Lonchura striata: one gene and its partners. The protein of the gene in region 1 interacts with the protein of each later gene in a biochemical or structural test. Links are inferred from orthologs where the notes say so. Each region holds a gene or a part of one and is shown in the gene's direction. Other genes may lie near its edges.

What was found. The genes of interacting proteins can lie anywhere in the genome.
Region 2: of the proteins of HDAC5 (region 1) and SIK2, one has a biochemical effect on the other in vitro, tested with the Homo sapiens proteins (2 studies listed by BioGRID). The link is inferred for Lonchura striata from reciprocal best matches to the Homo sapiens genes HDAC5 and SIK2.
Region 3: the proteins of HDAC5 (region 1) and ZBTB16 form a complex in vitro, tested with the Homo sapiens proteins (2 studies listed by BioGRID). The link is inferred for Lonchura striata from reciprocal best matches to the Homo sapiens genes HDAC5 and ZBTB16.

Annotation. Positions count from the first base shown.
Region 1 is NC_134627.1:8,659,397-8,666,715, reverse strand, and holds the start of HDAC5 (histone deacetylase 5), read left to right. Parts: upstream 1-4,299; 5' UTR 4,300-4,378; coding exon 4,379-4,400; intron 4,401-6,667; coding exon 6,668-6,730; intron 6,731-7,319. Other genes in the region: HROB (homologous recombination OB-fold protein), read right to left, coding at 92-200, 400-540, 646-729, 1,038-2,243, 2,321-2,371, 2,575-2,577. UniProt on the Homo sapiens protein: Responsible for the deacetylation of lysine residues on the N-terminal part of the core histones (H2A, H2B, H3 and H4).
Region 2 is NC_134625.1:9,393,737-9,400,649, forward strand, and holds the start of SIK2 (serine/threonine-protein kinase SIK2), read left to right. Parts: upstream 1-3,907; 5' UTR 3,908-5,069; coding exon 5,070-5,507; intron 5,508-5,596; coding exon 5,597-5,713; intron 5,714-6,913. UniProt on the Homo sapiens protein: Serine/threonine-protein kinase that plays a role in many biological processes such as fatty acid oxidation, autophagy, immune response or glucose metabolism.
Region 3 is NC_134625.1:10,775,827-10,783,011, forward strand, and holds the start of ZBTB16 (zinc finger and BTB domain-containing protein 16), read left to right. Parts: upstream 1-4,179; 5' UTR 4,180-4,259; intron 4,260-4,615; exon of another isoform or gene 4,616-4,728; intron 4,729-5,217; exon of another isoform or gene 5,218-5,221; 5' UTR 5,222-5,291; coding exon 5,292-6,559; intron 6,560-7,185. UniProt on the Homo sapiens protein: Acts as a transcriptional repressor. Transcriptional repression may be mediated through recruitment of histone deacetylases to target promoters. May play a role in myeloid maturation and in the development and/or maintenance of other differentiated tissues.

The DNA of each region.
Region 1 (7,319 bases):
CTGAGCCCCCCTGGGCACAGGGACCCCGGGCACAGGTACACAGGTAACCCCCGGGCACGGGGACCCCCGGGCACAGGTAACCCCCACTCACCTGTGGGGTCCCGGAACACGGCACCGGCACCAGCGCTGCTCCTGGTCAGGGACTTGATCATCACGGCCATGCTGGGAACTTTGTTTTTCGGGAGCTGCTTCAGGGCTGCCTGCACAGCACAACGGGGATTTTGGGATAACCTTGGGCAGTTGAACCCCAGGATCCTTCCCGTGGGATGTTGCTGGATCTTACACCCTCATCACCCGGGGGATGTGGATGTCTGTGCTCAGCTCAGCCCCTTCCCCAGAGACCCCCAGCCCCACAAGCAGCTCCGGGGGCTGAGGGAAGAGCTGGGGCTGAATCCTCACCTTGCGGAGCACCATGACCACGCTGTAGCTGTGGAGGAAGCAGCTGGGGTCCCTCTCATCCAGCCCCAGCTCCGTCTTCATGGCCAGCCAGGGCCCCTTCCCGAAATCCTCCTCCGTGGGCAGCGGGGAGCTGGGCAGCGCCTGGGGCAGGGACACGCAGGGTCAGGAGCACCGGGGCCGATCCCCCGGGATCTGCCGGGGCAGGGCTGGGATGGGGGGGTTACCTGAGCCCGTGTGGGGGGTTACCTGAGCCCGTGGCTTCGCCACGGCCCCGTGAGCCGGAGCCTGGGGAGCAGCCACCAGGATCTCCTCCAGCAGCTTCCCAGAGTGCTTGTGGGAGAGGGAGAGACGTCCAGGGATCTGCCTGGCTGCACCAGCTGCTCCCATCCCATCCCATCCCATCCCATCCCATCCCATCCCATCCCATCCCATCCCATCCCATCCCATCCCATCCCATCCCATCCCATCCCATCCCATCCCATCCCATAGCCCACTCCCATTCCCGTTCTGCCCACACCCATTGCACTCCTGACCTCATCCCCATCCCCATCCCCATCCCATCCTTTCCCATGCTGTCCCCATCCCCACCCAGGCCCTCTCTCACCCCTGTCCAGCCTCCCCTCCCCATCCCAGCCCACCTGCTGGGGCAGGATCCCGGCGGGCCCCGGGAAGCGCCGGCTCTCCCTGCGGCCGGGGGCTCGGGGGGCTCCCGGGGGGGCTTTGCTGGCCGCTGCCACCAGCTGCACCAGGTGGTTGGTGACCACGGGGACGCTCGGGGGGCCGGGGGCGTTGGGGGCCACGGGGGGGTTCGGGAAGCCGGGGGACTCCACGGAGCTGGGGGGGCCCGAGGGGGGTCTGGGGGGCAGCCGGGGCTGGGGGCAGCTCTGTGCTGGGGGGGTCCAGGGCACCGAGGAGCTGCTCCTTCCCGGGGGCGCTTGGCCAGGCCTCAGGCACGGAGCCCCCGGAGCAGGGACGGAGCCTGCGGACCCTCTTGGCTCTCCCAGGGAAGGGGGGGGTCTGGGGGCGCCGGCCGCGCTGGGCCGCAGCACCGGTCTGGGACTGGGGAGGGGGCCCTGCCCCTCCTGCAGCCCCCCGGAGCCGGGGACCAGCTCCTGTGCCAGCCTGAGCTTTTTGGGGACCCCACATTCCTGAGCGTTCTCCTTCCCTGCGCCCTTCCAGGGCGGCTTCTCGCGGCGCCCGGGGGGCAGCGGGGCAGCGCCGGGCCCCTCGAGCTCCCTGCAGGCAGCCAGGAAAAGGGCATTGTCCTGCTCGTCCTGGGGCGCTGCTCCCCGCCACGGGGGAACCCGCAGGCCCACGGGCTGCTGGGCGAGGGGCCGCAGGCTGGGGGGTCTGCTGGGTTGGGGTCCGCTGGGTTGGGGTCCGCTGGGTTGGGGTTCGCTGGTTTGGGGTCCGCTGGGTTGGGGTCTGCTGGGTTGGGGTCCGCTTGTTTGGGGTTCCCTGATTTGGGGTTCACTGGGATGGGGTTCACTGGGATGGGGTTTTCTGGTTTGGGGTTCACTGGGTTGGGGTCCGCTGGGTTGGGGTTCACTGGGATGGGGTTTTCTGGTTTGGGGTCCGCTGGGTTGGGGTTCACTGGGATGGGGTTCACTGGGATGGGGTTCACTGGGATGGGGTTTTCTGGTTTGGGGTCCGCTGGGTTGGGGTTCACTGGGATGGGGTTTTCTGGTTTGGGGTCCGCTGGGTTGGGGTTCACTGGGATGGGGTTCACTGGGATGGGGTTTTCTGGTTTGGGGTTCACTGGGAAGAACCGGCACGGCGCTGGGCGAGGAATGTCCGGGGATCACAAACTGGTTCTCTGCATCTTGCACAGCGGAGAGGAAATCCTGCGGGGAAAGGAGCAGCGGGGATGCCTCGGGCCCGGGCGCCCCGGGGCAGCCCCAGGATGTCGGGGGGCCCTCACCTCGTCCTCCAGCTCCCCGTCGGTCCCAAAGAGCCTCTGGAAGTGGCAGGACTGTGGGAAAAAGGGAAGAATGGGGCTGGGAGGGACACGCGAGCTGGGGGCCCGGGGGTCTCCGTGGTTCGTGCGGGAGCACCGGGCGGCGGCGGGGCCTCACACCGCGCCGGGGGCACCCCGCACGGGCCGGGGCCCGCAGGGCTGCCTCGGCGGACCCCAAATCCCCCCAGGGCACCCCAAATCCGCGCCGGGCCCGTTACCATGGCAGCGCCGCGACCCCCGGCCCGGCCCCGGAGGCGGAAGCGGCGGGGCCGGGGCTCGAACCCGCGGCCCCGGGGAAGGGGCGGAGCTTCCCCCGCGGCGCCGGGCGCCCCCTGGCGGCGGGCGCGCCCCTTAAAGGGCCACGCACCCCCGTTCCCCGCGCGTGTCACATGTGCACACGCGTGTGCCCCCGCGTCACCGGCCGGGCCCCGCGGCGCCGCCGGTGACTCAGCGCGGCCTCGGCCCGGCGTGATTCATCCCCGCACAGGCTGAGTGACCCCCCCAACCTGGGCCTGCTACACCCACGCGCGTGGGCAAGGCACGAGCAGGTGCCGCGGCCGGCAGGGGCACACGCGTGTGTCTGTGCGTGTGTCCTGCACTCGCACGCCTGTGTGCTCTTACACACTCACACCCCTGTGTCGGTCACACACCATTCCCCACTGACACCGCCTGGCCCTCACTCGCTGCGCGGCCCCTTTAAGGCCCCGTTAGGCCCCGCCCCCCCGGCTCGGCCACGCCCCTTTACCGGGTTGGGGGGGGGCCCGCGCGCGGGGCTATTTTTAGCGGCGGGCGCCGTCACGTGACGCGGAGTGACGTCACCGAATGTTGTTGTCGGGGCGGGCGGGGCCGCGCGGCGAAGATGGAGGCGGCGGCGGGGGGGCGGCGGGGCGCGCGCCGGGCGGCACCGGGGGGACCCCAGGTACGGCGGCGGCGGGCCGGGGGCACCGGCACCGCGGCTCCGCGGCCCGCCGGGACCCGCGCTGTCCGGGACCCCCGCGCGCCTCCGGGGGGGCTCCGCGCGGCGGTGGGGGGGGGCTGCGATCCCGGGGTCCGGTGCGGTCCGGTGCGGGGTCGCGGTGCGCTTGGGGGGGCGCGCGGTGAGGGGCCGTGCGCCGTGCGGAGCGGGGGGGCCCGGTGCGGGTTTTCGGGGGGTGCAGCGGGGGGAGCCCTGTGCGGGTCCGGGGCGGCCCGGGGGTCCCCGTGTGCTTTGGGGGGGCTGCAGCGGCGGTCCCGGCGCGATCCGGTGCGGGGCTGCACCCCCGCTGCGGGTGGGGGTCCTGTGCAGTCCGGGGGTCCCGGTGCGGCTCGGGGGGCAGCGCCCGTGCAATGGGGGGGCCCTGCGGTCCGGGGCAGCCCGGCACCTTCGGGGGTCCCGGCGCGGTGCGGGGGGGTCGGTGCGGGTCGGGGTCCCGGTGCGGTGGGCTGTGCACCGTGCCCGGGGGGGGTCCCCGCGGGTCCGGGGTTCCCGCAGTGTCGGGGGTCCGCGTGCCAGCACGGCGGCGGCTCCGCAGCGCGGCCGGGGGGGCCGGGGGGGCCCCGCCGCACCGCGCCGGGCTCGGCGCTGCCGGCACCGCGAGCGGCGTGTCCCCCCCCCCCGCGGGGACCGTCCCGCCGCGGGGCCCTCGTGGGTGGCGCCCCCAGACCCCTCTCTCTGCGGGGACCCCTTCTCGGGGGGTCAGCCTGTGTCCCCCCTCCTTATGGGGGTCCCACCCGTGTCCCTGGGGGTGGCACGGCCGGGGGTCCCCCTGCGGGCCCTCCCTTTCCCTGCGGAGCCTGGGGGTGTGGCGCTGCCGACCCCCAGGTCCCTTTGGGGGTGCCCCAGCCCCCCCATCCTGCCCCGCATGGGTGCTCGGGGGGGCTCGGTGCGGGCTCGCCCCCCCGTTTGCAGCGGGGGAGGTTCCGGGGGTCCCGCGGTGCTGACCCGCGCTTGGTCCCGCAGGGCTCCCTGGCGGCGCGGGCACAGCCCCGGTGCCCCGGCCGGCGCTGACGGACCCGCGCCTCTGCGAGCCCCCCCGGGCCACCATGGACCCCCCGAGCGACGCAGGTGAGAGCCGGGGACTGCGGCCCGAGGGGCTCGGCCGGACTGCGCCGTGTCCCCGGCGCGTCCCCCGGCCCTGCAGCCCCCGCGGGACCCCCAGGTTGGGTACCGGGGGTCGCAGCGGCGGGGCGCATCCGCGCCAGCCGGGGAGCACCGGGGGGCCCCGGGGCCGTGCCAGCCGCCCCCCACCCCGGTTATCCCAGCCCGTGCCGCCGCCCCCCCACCCCGGTGCTCCCAGACCCCGGCATCCTCCCGCTGGGAGGGGAAACTGAGGCACGGCTCCCGGCCCCGCCGTGGCCCGGCTCACGCGTGGCTCTTTATGCCGCCGGGGGCGGGTCCCCGCCGTGCCACGCGTGGGGACAGCCGCGGTGACCCCCGGGGCCGTTCCCGCGCTGTCCCGGCTCCCGCTGGCTCCCCGGCGGAGCCGCCCTGTAATTATCCCGGTGGGAACTCCGGCGACATCTGGACGCGCTCGCGTGTCCCCCCCCCGCCCCGAGGGGCCACGCGGCAGCACCGGCACCGCGCCTCTGCGGGGAAACTGAGGCCCGGGCGGCGGCAGCGCCCCGTGCCCCGCTGCGGGGGCTCGCCGGGGCGGGGGGCGTGTGTCCCCTCTGTCCCCAGCCCCCCCAGGCGGTATTTTTGGAGCGGCCGCGGGGCTGGAGCGCCGCCCGGCCGTGCCTGGCACGGGGCTGGCACGCGGCGCGGTGGCACCGGGACACGGCCGGGCCGCCTCCGCCAACCCCGGGGCGCTCCTTGGGGTCCCCTCCCGGCTCCGGGGCTGCCTGCGGGCCTTGGGGGACCCCCTCGGGGGTGCTGAGGTGGGAGGTCTCGGCCGGGCTGGGGCTGTCGGGGATGTGGCGGAGGCGGCCCGTGTCCCCGGGGGTCCCAAATCAGCCCCCGGGGGTCCCAAACCAGCCCCCGGGGGTCCCAAATCACCCACTGGGGGACCCCAAATCACCCACTGGGGGATCCCAAATCAGCCCCCGGGGGTCCCCGGTCAGCCCCCGGGGGCTCTGGGACCCCCAGGGCTCCTTTTCCCGGCCCCATCCCAGAGCCGGGGGTCCCGTGGGTGCCGCTCCCATCCCTCGCTCCCCTCCTTCCCTCCCGGAATTCCTGGGGGTCCCCACTGGTCCCCCAACATCCCTGCGGGTCCCGCTGTCCCCCAGGAGTGCCACCAGCTCCGGAGGGGCTCCGCGGGCCCGGGCAGCCCCTGCCCTGCCCTGGGGGCCGGGAAGGAGTCTGGGGGTCGGACTGGGGGTCCGGGCAGCATTGAGGGGGTCCGGGCAGCATTGAGGGGTCCGGAGCCGGGCGGGCCCGTTCCCGCGGCCTCCTGCCCGCTGGCAGCACCAGAAATAGCCGGGCTGACGTCAAGCCCCAGAGCACCCCGGGGGGGGCACGGGGTGTCCCAGAAATATCCCGGCTATTAAAAGTCTTGGCTCGGGATTAACGCCTGGTAAATAAACGTGGCGCTGCCCCGGGGGGGGGGTTACGCACGGCCGGGGTGGCGGGGGGGCTCCCCGTAACCGGGGGGATGCCCCCGTCCCCAAAAAGGGGGGATTCCACGCTCGGCACGGTGTCACCCCCCCCGTGTCCCTGCAGGGCCACGTGGGGACACGGATCCCACGGGAAATGTGCTGAGCTGGCGGCTGCGCCCCCAGCCCCTCCTGGGGGGGCTCGGGGGGTCTGCAGTGGGGTGGGGGGGTCTCCTGCCCTCACGTTCCCAAAAATGGGGCTAATCCCCCCCCCACTCCGGACATCGCAGGTCTGGCTCGGCAGCGCTGAGGCGGATTAGCGTCCCCGGCAATTAGGGGGATGCGGGGGGTGGGACGGAGCTGGGGGGGGGGCGTGGGGACCCTAGCCCCCCGCAGCCTCCTCAGCCAGGGCAGCCCGTGCCCCCCGGCCCCGGGGCAGTTTGGGGGTGCAGCTGGGTCTGGGGGGGACACAGCGCATCCCCTCCGGGATCTGTTTGCCCCCCTCCCGGCACAATTCCCTATTTTTAGCCGGCTCCTCCCGTGCGCGGCTATTTCCAGGCGCCGGAGAGAATAGCCTGGGGGGGGGCGTGGGTGGGGGGGCCCCTGGGTGGGGGGGTCCCTCTGCCCTGCCCTGCCTGGAGCGGGGGGGCTGCGTTTGCTCCCGTCACCCCAAAACCCAGGGATGCTCCTTGACCCCCCCCAGCCGCCGAGGAGGGATTTGGGGAGCTGAGGTTGGGTCTGGGGGCGCGCGTGGCCCCCCGCTCCCAGCCTATTCAGGGGGTCACGGGTGTCTCTCTGCAGAGGGGGGGTCTGGCCGTGAGCCCCCGCTGGAGCTGCTGCCCCGTGTCCCCCTGCCCGCCCCAGGTGAGTGGGGGGCGGCCCCCCGTGCCCCCCAAAACAGTGAGACCACCCCAAAACCCGGTGACAGCACCCCAAACCCGGTGACATCCCCCATGAGTGTGCAGGGGGAGCGGCTGGATGCGAGTGGATTCAGGTGTGCAAGGACAGGTGTGCAAGGACAGGTGTGCAAGGGGAGCTGCTCCAGCCCTGGGGGTGCTCCCCCCCCCCCCCCCCCCCCACTGCAGACCCCCGGCCTCTCCCGTGCCCCCATTCCGTGGGGTTACCCCTGTTGTGCCCACGGGCACCTCTCTGTTTGGGGGTCCTGGGCAGCGAGGGGTTAAACATCCCCGTCCCGGGTGGTCCCCGCAGGGTGGGAATCCCGCAGGGTGGGGGTCCCACAGGGTGGGCTGTGGCACCCAAAGTGCCGGGTTGGCACCTCCGGGGGGGTTTTTGAGCCCCCCAAGCGCTGCCCCCTCCAGGGCTGGGTGCTGCCGCCCCCCACTGCACCCCAACACCCCCCGGAGACCCCCGGCTGGGGCTGGCACGCTCGGGGGGCTGCAGGAGTACCCCCAAATCCCCCCCGGGAGAGCCAAACCCCGGAGCTGCGCTGGTG
Region 2 (6,913 bases), on another chromosome or scaffold:
GTTCCCCCGCTCGCATCCTCCCGGGAAGGGCGGAACGCCCCCGGGGCCGCGGGGGGATGCCCGAGGATGTCACCCGCGGGATGTCACACCCCCCGACCTCCCCCTCCCGCCCCCGCTAAGGATGCCACCCGAAAGATGACACCCCCAGGATGTCACCCCCAGGGTGGTGGCATCAGCCCCGGGGTGGTGGCATCGCTGCCGGGATGGCACCGCGAGGATGCTCCGGTGCTGCTCCAGCAGCACTTTCTGCTCCCTGGGAAGGGTCAAACCTTGTGCTGTGCCTGCCGCCGTGCCCCGGGTATTTTCGGGTTTCCTGACCTGGGCAATGCTGGGTTATCTGTTTCAGCAGTGTGTGTGTGTGTGTGTGTGTGTGCTGAATTCTTCACGGCATCCTCCAAGTTCACCAAATCCAACCATTTTTAGCCTCTTTTGTTCAACCGCCCCCGTGTATTACCCGGTGATTATTATTAATACCTGGCGCTTTACCTAAAACAAAAATGATTGTCGGTCTGCCTGGGTAAAAATGTAGTCGTGTTCACTTTAAAAAAAAAAAAAAAAGAAAAAAGAAAAAGGAGGTATTTGATGAGAGTAATGGCTCTGAAGGATCAGCTTCCTCTTCTGCCTTGTTTTAGGTAGTTTTAGTTGCTACACCTAGAGGTGAGCTTTTTGTAAGGCTCTCTTCTGGTGGCTTTCATTGTTGACTGAAGAAGAGGTTCCTGGCTGCTCTGTCCCTGGCCAAAGTCACTCAAACGCTGTCCCAAGGCCTGCAGGTATTCACCACCGTGGGCTCGGAGGGGAAAATCCTAAAATCCTAAAATCATCCCTTCAGGAATGGCAGCATGCCCTGAAAGCTGCAGCCCAGCTGAGGACAGCAAACCCCGGGTGCTAACAGGGCTGAGCTCTGCGTGGCAGGGACTGGCAGAAACTTCTCCTTTTGCCTCATTTCTCAAGTTCATCCTAAACTCGGTTCTTCCTGAGCCCTTCCTCGCTCCTGCTGAAGAGCCAAGCAGCGCCAGCCTTCCCCTTCCCAAGTTTGGTGCCATGGGCCAGAATTGCAAATGCTCCACTTGAAGATACTCGCTTGTCATTGCTCTGCAGCCCTCATTTCTTTTTGGCAGGCTTTGTGGTGGAGATGAAAACTTTAATCTTGGTTTTTATTGTCCTTTTAGAAAGCCTGTTTGTTTAGCATTGTTCGAAATAACAAAGGTTGCAGAAAGCACAGAGCTTAAAAGCTCCCCGATTCCTGGATGCTTCTTTCATCTGTGTCCTAAGGAACTGCTGAATTCTCTTAGTCTTCAAATATTTTTTAACCAGCTTTTCTGTCCAGCCTGCAGCCTTTTTATCTTCTGGGGGATTTTTACAGCAAATTTGCCCGTGTTGGAGGACTTTTTGTCAAGGTCTTTGATTTTTTGAGTCAGCTCTGACTTCTGCAGGGAGAGATGCAGGAGTGTTTTTCTGGAACTGAATTGCTGAGTTGGTTGCTGGAAGTATTTACACAATCTTTGAGGAAGGGGAACCCTGTTAAGATCACTTCTGGTGATGTCAGAGGAAATAAATTCCAGCCAAATACTCTTTGGAATAAGCACTTCCAGCTTGGAGCAGCTCACCTGATTGTTGGACCCCTGAGCACACAGAGTGGAAATCCTGCTTGTTAATGACTCCAGACTGAAGGGTTTTCATATTTCAAACTTCTTCTAAACTGTTGCTTAAGTTCCAGTGGAAGAATATTCAGTTTTTAGGTTCTGGTGCACCCTCAGGTCTGTGCTACAGGAGGATGCTGTGATGCTGCTGAGACTTGCTCAAAAAACCTGTTTTAAAAGGACTCCTTGTCAAAGTTTCTCCTGAATCTCCTGATTTCAACCCTTTACATTCAGAACCTGTTTGTTGTTGGGCTTTTCCAGCGCTGGCATTTTGAAATTGTGTTTGATATGATTTTGACCTTTGAAATATTTGCCTTTTTATTTTTTAATGCAACTCTAGCCAATAACCATCCAATTAAAAAAGATGGGCTCTAATTACCTTGAATGCAGCACTTATGGATTGTGTAAAATCCATCCTTTTTATGGAAAGACTGCAGGTGAGGAGATAAAATTGTTGCCATAAATTGTTAGCAGAGGTGGGAATGAAATGAAAACACGAAGCAGGAGAGCAGCACAGGGTGTGTGCAAACGAAATCAGAAATCAAAATTTGAATTCATGCAAGTTCTGAACAACCGCACAGAAGCGTGAAAGTTGGGAAAAATGGGGGGATTAATAAATTTATCAGGTGATAAAGATGTCAGGAATAAATAAATTAAATAAGGATATGCAGGAATAGAGGTGCTGCCTGACCCTTTTTACTGCCAGTCCACCCAGGGGGGCTGAACCCGACCTTTGCTTGTCTTTTTTGGGGTTTTTGGTGCCATTTGAGTGGAGGGCACGTGGCTTTTTTGCTGCCACGCTCCTTTCTTGATGCTGCTGCCCAGAAATCCTGTGATCCCAGGGCAGCTCCTGCTAATGAGGCGTGGAAATGAGCCGAGATTTTCCTGGGGAGGACGGAGAGGAGGGAAGGGGAATAATTGGTGGCGTCAAAGTTGGAGGAGATGGAGATTTGCTTCCACTGAAATGGGATGGGAGTGGAATAAGGGAAAGGTTTGGAATGTAGGGAATAGGGGAAAGGTTTGGAGTAGGTGAAGGTGCTGCTTGGAAAAAGCAGGAATTTGGGAACACACCCCTAAAAGCCTTAATTAACCCCCCCTAAGGATTAATCCCCTGCAGAGGAACTCTGCTCGCTGCTCCCTAGGGGAAAACAAAACCTGGCTCTCCCTGTGCCTCCCAGATGTGCTTCCACCTGGCTGCTGTTACAGCGAATTTCTATTTTTCTTTGAGAAAAAAAAAAAAAAAAAAAAAAAAAAAAAAAAGAAAAAAGAAAAATGACCCTGCAGCCCCTGATTTGATCTGTGGCAGCAGTTCGGGTGAGCTCAGGTATTTGCAAAGTGAGTAACTCCAGCAGAGTCAGCAGCTCCCTGCGCTGCGCAACAAAACACGGAGTTTTTCCAGACTGCAGGAAGTTGTGGTTGTTAGTTTTAATGCATTTTATCTATTTTAAGAATGCACTGGGTTAACAAATCCGAATTTCTGTAACCTGCAGGGACAAAGCTCTGTTTGAATGTGAACTTGTAGCGGGAGGTTGTGTTGTGGTTTTGGTTTTTTTTGCTTTTTTGCCTTTGTTTTCCCTTTCAAGAATTAAAGGAACGAAACAAAAACAATGAAAACTGACATTTGGAGTAGCTGAGGAGCAGCAGCAGCAGAACTTTCATCTTTTCTTGACAAGCATTTCATCCTCCCTCCTTGGCAGTTGCAATTCCCAGATGTCAGGGCAGGATTGAGCAAACTCCAATTCCCTGGGCCTCCAGTGGAAGAGGGAAGGAAATAAGTGCAGTTCCTTGTATTTTAAAATGGTTTTTGTATTTTAAAAACCACAAAAGCTGCAAAAATATCTTGGAATGTAACTCCTTAAGCAGCAAAATCTGGTGACAGGCAGAGATCAGGGATTTTTTGGCTTTCCTTCTCAGGTGAAAGATGTGCTGACATTATATATTGAAATTTGGGGTTTTTTTGTTGTTTATTTCGAGCTGTTGCCAGTAGTTTTTGGCAAGCTGCATGTTTAGGAACAAAACACACTTTTCAGATAGGAAACTGCTCCGTGGCTTGAAGGAGCTTCTCCACCTCTAAGAATTACATCCCTTTTCCTGTCATCAAGAGACAGCTGAGCTCATGGACAAAAAGGAGCTGCTGAATTCCCTGTTCCTGCTCACATCCTTGGGAAGATTTTGCTGGATTTTAAGTATTTTCAAGTGGTTCTTCTGTAAAATCTTCCCTGCTCCTGGCAAGATGAAGATGCAGAGCGAGCTGAGGTATTAAATCTGCATTTGAGTGGAGGAGCTGCTGCTCTCCTGTGGTATATATATATATATATTTTATGGACATATTTCATGCACACTGGAAGTTGTGCATTTTCCTGGGAGTTGGGGAAAGACTGGGGACTTTTAAAGAGGGAAAACCAGAGTGAGCTGAAGTCAATAAATAGTTAATTGTGAACTCAGGAGGGCCCATAATCAGTGTTGGAGCAGATAATGAGGTTCACCTCCCATGGATTTCCTGTGCAGCAGCTCTCCCATGTTCAATAGTTTGTATATATGGTTTGTATATAATAATTCTGCTATAATTGGAATTATTAGTGGGACTTGCACTGTTTGCTCCTGCTTCAGCATTAATAAAGTGACATTCAGGGTGAGCAAGCACCATTTGTATATTCAACACTCTTTAACATTTTTACCCTTTGCAGGGGTTGTATTTTCACTTTCTTCTTGGTTTCAATTTTAAATGTCTTCTGTTGGAGCTTTTTAGTTCCCCTCAGCATCTCGAGTGATCTTCCCTTTTCATTTATTGGCTAAAAAACAAGGTCAGCAGGGCCAGGATGTGTTTTGTGAATTAATTGAGATGTGTTTGCAAGGTTTGACTGGTAAATTCATCTGCAGAGTTTTTATCTCTGAAGGGATGAACTGCAGATACCCTTTCATAATAACATACGAATTAATTAAATATGCCACAGCTGCAAGTGCCTGGAGCCCCTAGGTTTGGACTGTTTGTGTGGAGCCAACACAAGAATTTTAAGTTTTTCATATAAAATATCCTTTTGTGGGACTCTGATTTGTCACCTTGACTCCTGAAATGGGCACCACGGAGATTTTTGGGGAGATGTTGCTCACTGCAAATTCCTGATTGAAGAACACCTGGAGCACTGACCTCCCTCACCTGTCCTGTGCCTTCCATTCTATGGAAAACCTGCTTTTTCTCATAGAAAAACAACTTTTACTCCTAGAAAACCTACTTTTACTCACGAAAAACCTGCTTTTACTCAAGGAAAATCTGCTTTTTCTCATTGAAAACCTACTTTTACTCACGAAAAACCTGCTTTTACTCAAGGAAAACCTGCTTTTACTCATAGAAAACCTACTTTTAACTCATGGAAAACCTGCTTTTTCTCATAGAAAACCTACTTTTACTCATGGAAAACCTGTTTAGTCATGGAGATCCTACTTTTACTCATGGAAAACTTGCTTTTACTCATGAAAAACCTGCTTTTACTCATTGAAAACGTACTTTTACTCACGGAAAACCTGCTTTTTCTCATAGAAAACCTAATTTTTCTCATGGAAAACCTGCTTTTTCTCATAGAAAAACTACTTTTACTCATGGAAAACCTATTTTTACTCATGGAAAACCTACTTTTACTCATGAGAAACCTGCTTTTTCTCATAGAAAACCTGATTTTTCTCATGGAAAACCTGCTTTTTCTCATAGAAAAACAACTTATACTCATAGAAAACCTACTTTTGCTCATGGAAAACCTGCTTTTCCTCACATGCTGGTGTGGGTGGGAGCCCTGCAGCCCCTCCGAGGGACCCCAGCCACTTTCAGTGCTGCCCTGCTCTATTTTCCACTCAGGGATTTGCAGCCTCCAGGTACCCGGGGCTGCATTATTCCCTTTTCAATGAGGGTCAGCTCACCTTGGGGGAGTTTTTAAACCTCATTTTTCCCTCTTGCTCTGCAGGTGGCAATAAAAATCATCGACAAATCTCAGCTGGATGCTGTGAACCTGGAGAAGATCTACAGGGAGGTGCAGATAATGAAGATGCTCGACCACCCACACATCATAAAACTCTACCAGGTAGGCTTAGAGGGGCTTTTCCCCTTTTTTCCCCCTTTTTTCCTCCTTTTTTCCCCCTTCTTTCCCCCTTTTTCCCCCCCTTTTTTCCCCTTTTTCTCCCTTTTTCCCCTTTTTTCCTCCTTTTTTCCCCCTTTTTTCCCCCTTTTTTCCCCTTTTCCCCCTTTTTTCCCCTTTTTCCCCTTTTTCCCCTTTTCCCCCCTTTTTTCCCCCCTTTCCCCCCCTCTTCCCCCCCTTTTTCCCCCACTTTTTCCCCGCTTTTTTTCTCCCTTTTCCCCCTTTTTTCCCCCTTTTTTCCCCCTTTTTTCCCCCTTTTTTCCCCCTTTCCCCCCGCTTTTTTCCCCCTTTTCCCCCCCCTTTTTTCCCCCCCTTTTCCCCCCCCACCTTTTTCCCTGCTTTTTTTTCCCCCCTTTTATTTCCCCCTTTTTATTTCCCCCCTTTTATTTCCCCTTTTTTTCTCCCCCCTTTTTTCCACCCTTTTCTTCCCCCTTTTTCCCCCTCTTAGTTCAGCTAAACAAAAATGAATATCCCAGTTAAGACCAGTTCAACCTTAAATTAATTCTATGCACAAGAAGCTGGCCTTTAAAATATTTTAAAAACAAAAGGGTTTCAATTTAAAAGATAAAACTGGTTTAAAATATCGATGTAGCAGGTAGAGATGGAGCTCAAGGAGTTAAATTTGCAATTGCCTCGATAATATCTCCCCTCAGTTCCTTTCTGAATGAATGACACCACAGAAAAGTGGCAGGGGAGAGAGTGAGAATATTGAAATTATGACTGAAAATCAGCAGGGAGGGTGGTGCTCACTCCTCTGCTTAAAAATGCATTTGATAAATGAATTTATTTTAAAAATAGCCTTCAAATTGTCTACCTGCTTTGCTTTTATTTGTGAGCAGCCTCTTGGGACTTTCAGGCCAGTTAAGAAATAAAATGCAAAATCAAATTCACAAAGCTCTTGCCCACGGACGAGTTCAGCTGATGCTGAAACGTTTCTCTGAGGTTATTGAAATAAACTCAAAATACATTGGAATTTCTCTGAGGTTTTTGAAATCAACCCAATAAAAATACTTGGGAATTGTTGTCCTGAAATCTGAAATGGCTTTTTGAAGTGGAGGATTGTGATAATTCCACGTGTGAGGCAGAACTTCCCCAGCTTTAGGAGAGATCCATAAAAATAAAGATCCATAAAAATAAAAATCCATA
Region 3 (7,185 bases), on another chromosome or scaffold:
AGTGCTGTATCCTTCCTGAGGAGAGTCAAAACCAAAGTAAGACAGGAAAAGCAGGATGAAACTGGAACACAATCCCTCACTAGAGCATCCCCTGTTTTGGGAGGCAGAACAAGCCCCCAGAAGTGCTTTGCTGAGGTCCTGGTGTAGATTCTGCTCTATTTAAATGACTTTTTTTTGGGATGAACTTTACCGAACACACATGCAGCCTCCACAGCACCATGAATTTGGGGCTGACATTTAATGCCTCGGCACATTTCTTTCCTTGTCCCGTGCAAGGCAATCAAGTATGTCAGGTTAAGAGAAGAGAAAAAGAGGAAAAATAATTACACAGTAAATTAAACAAGGCTAACTCCCTCCCACTTATTATGGCTTCATAAGTTGCTACCTCTGGCTCAAGCTCTCTTGAATACGTACCAAGGGTAACACTAAAAATAGGTCCTGTACTGATGGTTGGGTCACAGCCTGCTAGAGGGAGACATTTTTATTTAATTACAAGCCCAGCAGCGTGTTGCTGGGGGGGAATACATAAACACGCCACTCGAAGCCCGGCTGTAAAGTTTGTGCTCCTTCGCTGAGTCACTGTGGCTAAATTCCCCTTTGTGTGGGGGATTTAGGGGAGGAATGCGGGAAGGCTGGCCCGGGCTGCCGCCCTCCTGAGTCACCGCTCAGCTCATCCTCCAGCCCCGGCAGGCTCAGGGCCCTAAGCCACTAATTAGCCTCATTGTCTTAGGGCTGCAGCATCCATAACCTAGCACAGGGAGGGGGGGGACGGAGGGACAAAGCTCCTGGAAACCCATGAGCTGTATCTCCTGGCAGTTGTGTTCTGTGCGTCACAGCCCACCTCTCAACACTCCCCGAGGGATCCTGATCCACTCCTTCCGTGGGATGGCATGGATTCCGTGATGCCTAAATGCGAGTGCAGCTGTAACCTGGAGCAGTTCTTCTGAGCAGGGAGGGTTCTGGGGCGCGGGGTGCAGCAGCCGGTGACACCATGGTCCTCGTCACTGCTGCCACGTGCTCGAGCGTGGCCGGGCAGCATCCCACATCCAGCAGGGCCGGGAGGCTGGCAGTGTTTCTGCAGTGTGACACGTGTCTGCTCAGCTCTGTCCGAACTACCAGGTTGTGCGGGTCTCCTTTCCCACAGCAGCAAGCAGCCCTGCGCAGCTCCCTCGGGCTGGCTACCGCCGAGCTCCAAAAATAACTTACCTTGGGACCAACTGCAAGGTGGATAACCCGTATCCCACCACCCCGATCAGTTGCGTCCTTGCGTGACTCTCAGGTTGCCCTTGTGCAGCACACATGGGCACAATGAGGGGTCTGTTCCCAGCCCCTCCGCTCCTGGGCTGCCACAACGCGCACGGCTCCGGTGTCTGCGCTCGGACAGAGCCTGGTGCTCATCACTGGGGTTCAGAGGAAGCTTAATGCACCATGGCTGCACGCTGAGCAGCTTTCCTGGGGCTTCCGCCCTCCCCCTTGCAAACAGCTTTGTGTGTTTAGGCTTTTTTTTAAATGAAGTCTAACACATTTAATCATCTTTTCATAAGCTGTCAGCTTGCCGCGCACCAAAGCAGAGCAGCGCGCTCTGTCCCGGCTCCCAGCAAAGCAAAAGTGCCTGGAGAATCCTGCTCCTGGGAGCGTGCACACACACAGCTCAGGAGCTGTGAACTTTTCTCAGGGTCTGGGGTGAGATCAAAAATCAGTTTTTGGAAGTTATTTTGAAACAGATCTTATTTTGTACAGCATCTTTACTCCAGTGTTTCATAATTCAGCTCTGCACCATCAGCGCTGGAAAACTCAGTATACTAGAAAACTCCAAATACATCAAAAGCAAAACACAACTAGTCCTAGGAAAACATGGGAATGTGCCTGTCCCCCACCCTGAAGGTTCTCGGCAGGAGCAGGGAGAACAGGGGGCAGCTCAGTCCAGGGGCAGAGCTGGGGTGGGCACAGCTGAAGTCAGGGCCTAGCAAGCTGGGGAAGTCAGAGCCGTGTCCTTGCGTGCCTGTCTGGGGTGGAATGGGAGATTATGTGTCTAACAGCACTGGAGGAGTGTGTGTGATGGGAAAGGGCGTTTGCACAGAGTGGGAGAAGCTGTTGTTTTGGGCATGATGGAGAGGAGCTGCTCCTCTTCCCTTTCCATTCATACAGGGTGGGTGATGCTGGGGCACCTTCTGGCTGAAGTTGTCTCCCAGAATGTTTTTTGTGGACTAAGCATCCTGAACAAGGAATTTCCTTTCTTACTGTAATTGTGGAGACTGCTCAGTTTTACTCTCCTCTCCACACACTAGCTGCCTCTTGGAGAAGCATCCCAAGGCTGCCCTTGCCACTATCCCTCAAAATACGGGCTGCACATTGCCCAGTCCTTGTCTCCCCACAGACCTGGTGCTGCTGGCCAGGGTATTTCCCCGGGAGAAGCAAACATTCGTGTCTCCCTGTCCAAGTAACTGATAGGTCTGAGGGATCTGAATAGATCCCAGATTTTCCTGGGAAGGATGTCCATGCTTCACCTGGTTCTCACACAGAAGGCCCTTCCTGAGGAACCACCGACTCAGGTTTAATGCTGGAGGTTAATAATAATCACACCAGGCAGCACATCATTGCACCGTATCTGGTTGAGAGATTTACAAGTGAAACTCGTGGCGGAGGAAGAAATTGCCTCAATCACTCGGAGTAATGGCACATGGAGAGGCACTTGGGCGTGACTGCTACTTAACACGGAGCCCAGCTTGGCTTCATTTAGCTGCTGGTGCCTTTCTAATAAACACGTTACACTACAAGGTGGGGATTAAGATCAGAAAAGTAAATAAATTGGAAACTGATGGGGAGAGATGGGAGGGAAATGGAAGGTACTGAGGAGGAGTGACGAGGGATTGACTCCCATGCCAGCACATGGGGAAATGACCCTGAAGGCCATGGCTGTAGCTTTCCAAGCATCTCTGTGGGCCTCACCTGTGGCCTGCAGGTGCTGGGCAGCCCCAGTGCCAGGGCATGTTGGGTGTCCCTGCTCAGGGTCACCAAGCTGGTCTTCAGCAAACAGCAGCTGTGGCAAGTTGGTGTCTTAAACAATTCAGTAGCTTTTACTATATGTATTAGAGAAGCAAGAAAAAGTGCAATGCACCAGTTGACAGGAAGGACTGGGGGTTAATTTTCAGGATGCTGCCTGGGAATTTAGCCGTGGGATTTCCATTATTGCTAATGGGACTCATGCAGCTTAATTTCATGTGAGCTATACTAAAAACATACCCGTAACTGCCTGCAAAATTTCAGTCCTGAAATCAAGCCTTTTAAAAGTTAGAGAAGGGTAAACAAACACCTGAAACCACAGTGTCTCACCATTTCCTCCTCTCAGCTGTTTGGATTTTAAAGTCTGGAAGAGGGAGGAACTCAAGCAGTTTGAGACAATTAAAAACCCCCATCCAGCAGGCACGCTGGCTGCCTGTGCGGCACATCCCTGCTCTCTGCCAATTACAGCAGCAGAGTTATAACCCCCGAAAAAATAGGAGTAAGCTGATGCCTTACCCTTAACTATAGTACGGCGAGCACGGCGTTATCACACGCGTCTAATAACCCGCGCAGCGCCGCCGTGCATCGTGAGGCCTCCGTTATTAGGCTGTTCTCGTTAAATGACTGCTATCATCTGGTCCCAAAGTACATTAAATCCCATTATAATTATAAACACACTTCCCCATAACGTTCTCCTTAGATTACATTTGCGCTGCTTTACCCCAAGGGTATCTTTGTACTAATGCCGTCCGTGTTTGTTGTTTTAGCTGAAGACACCGGCCCTGCGCTGGCTGTGTCGGTCCACGGGCGCAGCAGAGAGGGAGGGAAGAAGGCAGAGCCGTGCGGCTGCCACCCTGCCCCTCCCGAGGATTGCACAGGGTGCGCCGGGCGCGGGCACGCCAAGGAGCTGAGGCACTCCTCGGATGCTCGGGGCACGCAGTGCTCCCTCCGCGCGTGGCCCGCTGCTCCTGCCGCCGCCTGGTGCTGCTGTCGGTGTCACGGTGTGGCTGGCGTCTCACCGCGCGTTTCGCTCCCTTCCCGAAGGGGACAGAGCCCCACGGCCCGTCCTGGGGTGCGGGCACCCGCCACATCCCTACACACAAGTGGCGCCGTCACGGCGTCAGTATTTTACCGGGGGGGCAGGGGGGAAAGGAGGACAAACCGGCTTCGTCGAGGCGACAACGTGCTCGGTGTCACATCATGTCACGAGCACCGCAGCTCCCGGTCGGAATCCGGACCCCAAACCGGGCTCCGAGGTTGGTTTTCACCGTCTCCAGCCCGGGGCCGGGTCCGCCCGGCGCGGGGGCGGCTTTGTCTGGCGGGGGCGCCGCCCGTCGGGGCGCGCAGCCCCGCTCGCGGCGGGCCCGGGGCAGCCGCGCCGCGGCCCGGGGCCGCTCCGCGGGGCCGCTCCCGGTGCCGCCGGGCTTCCGGGTGCCGGGCTCGCCGCCGCCTCCGGCTCCTCCATGTTTGTTGTCGGCAGCGCTGTCCAGCCGCCGCCGCCGCCCGCAAGGTGCGGGGCGCGCGGGGCGGGCCCGGGCGGGGGCGCCCGCACTCAGCGCGGCGGGCGGGGGCGGCCGCCGGTCGGTGGGTGGGTGGGGGCGGCCTGACGCGGGCGCGGGGCGGCCCGGGGGCCGGCGCCGCCGTGATTTGCTGCGCGGCGCGGCGAGCGGCGGCGGCGGCGATGAGAGCGGGCAGTGCGAACTGCCGGAGCAGCCGCCGGCCGCCGTGAGTGCGGGCGGGGGGCGGCACCGGGGCCCCCCGCGTCCCCCGCCCCGGGACCGCCGTGTGCCCGCGGCTCCGCCGCTTCGCCGCGCACCTGATGGGGCCGCGCTGCCGGCGGGACGGGGCGGCCGGAGCTGGAGCCGGGCGGCGGCGGGGGATGCGCACCTTCCTCTCCCTTCCTTCCCTCGCCTTCCCCGGCCGGCGGTAGCGGGAACGCGGCTCCGGCAGCTGCGGATCCGCCGAGCAGCGCGGAAACTTTTGGGCGAGTCGCTGCTAGGCTGCGGGCTAACTTCCCTCTTCTCCCCGCTCCCTTCTCCCCGCTCCCTTCTACTCCCTGCTCCCTTCTCCTCTCCTTTCTCTCCCCGGCTTTCCTCTCTCCCCCATCTTTTTTCTCTTTCTTCCCCTTTTCTCTCTCCTTCGTCTCTTCCCTCCCCGCTCCCCCTTTCCCGCTCCCCTCTGCTCCTCTCCCCCTCCGCCTTTTGTTTTCTGCAGATAGTCGGCACACAAAGCTGGTCCCAGATTTGAGCGACGGCGAGACACCCTGATGTGTGAGCCTGGGGCGCGCCATGGATCTGACTAAGATGGGGCTGATACAGCTGCAGAACCCCTGCCACCCCACCGGGCTGCTGCACAAAGCCAACCAGATGCGCCTGGCGGGGACGCTGTGCGACGTGGTCATCATGGTGGACAGCCAGGAGTTCCACGCGCACCGGACCGTGCTGGCCTGCACCAGCAAGATGTTCGAGATCCTCTTCCACCGCAACAGCCAGCACTACACCCTGGACTTCCTCTCGCCAAAGACGTTCCAGCAGATCCTGGAGTACGCGTACACTGCCACCCTACAAGCCAAGGTTGAGGACCTGGATGACCTGCTCTATGCTGCCGAGATCCTGGAAATTGAGTACCTGGAGGAGCAGTGCCTGAAGATCCTGGAGACTATACAGGCCTCCGAGGACAATGACACCGAGGTCGCTATGGCTGATGGAGGTGCCACCGCCACCACTGAGGAGGAGGAGGAGAAGAAGTCAAGGTACATCAAGGGCCTCTTCATCTCCAAGCCCACTGGTGAGGAGGGTGGCTATGCTGGCATGGCCAGCCAGAATCTGCTGGCAGCCACAGTGGAGCAGAGCCCCTCTGCCTCCGCATCCTACTGCTCCCTCTCTTCCATGAGCCCCACCAAGGCGGCGGTGGACAGCTTGATGACCATCGGGCAGTCACTGCTGCAGGGAGCCCTGCCACCCAATGCCCCCGAGGACTCACGCTCTGCCACCACCCGCCGTCCCTCTGGCCTCGCCGAAGTCAAAACTGAAGCAATGCAGGTGGATGAGGCCTCCAGCCATGACAGCCCCCGGACAGCCGAGCCCGGTGCCTCCAGTGGGGAAAAGGCTGACGAGAAGGGCAAGGAAGGACCTGGCACCCCGACCCGCAGCAGTGTCATCACCAGTGCCCGTGAACTGCACTACACCCGTGAGGAGGGTGCCGAGCCACCCCCTGAGCCTGGCCAGGGGCTGCCACTGGGGCCGGAGCCGTCTGCCGCTGCCCCGGGAGAGAAGCCCTTGGGCATCTACTCCCTTCTGCCGAACCACAAGACTGAGCCGGTGCTCGGCGTGCCGCCCACTGCGGCGTCCGCCCTGCATGTGCAGCCGGCCCTGGCTGTCTCCATGGACTTCAGCGCCTATGGCGGGCTGCTGCCCCAGGGCTTCATCCAGCGGGAGCTGTTCAGCAAGCTGGGGGAGCTGGCAGCCGGCATGAAGACGGAGAGCAGAGCCCTGGGTGAGCAGTGCAGCGTGTGTGGGGCAGAGCTGCCGGACAACGAGACCCTCGAGCAGCACAGGTGAGTGCCGAGGCCGTGCTGTGGCATGCTGCACCGGGCAGCCAGGATCTCGCCAAAGGGTTTCGGTTTCTGGCTGAGTGTCACATGCGTTGGTGCAAAGTTTCCATCAGGTACCCCAAAACCAGCTTGTGGAGTAGCATTCTAAGAGGGATAGCTGTTGGCAGCTTCCCCGAATCTGGTTACCGTGCCAGAAGGTTCCTTCCAGTGAGTGCTGGCTGGGAACAGCCCGGATGAGCTGGGGCCGTCGGTGTTTCCTGCGAGCATAAACACCACCAGTTTCCCTGGCTGGCATCAACCAAGTAGCTCACAGTTGCTACCCTTTGAGTTGGGGGATCTGCGTGTAGAGAGAAGCAGTGGGGACAGGCAGCGCTCGCCCGCTCTGCTGAGATCTGGTCCCCCCTGTGCCAGTGCCGGGGCACGCCAGCGCGGGCAGTGGTGTCAACATGTGTTGACTTGCCAGCCTGGGGGGTTTTGTGCCGCTCAGCTTCCCGGTTTATGAAACATTTACACTTCGCAGAAAGTGGCGCGGGGGTCAGGCTGGGTAACGCCGGGGCGAGCGCAGAGGGCTCGGGCTGCCGCAGAGCCGCGGGTCTGTCCCTGCGGGAAAGGTGAAGGGCTGAACCTCC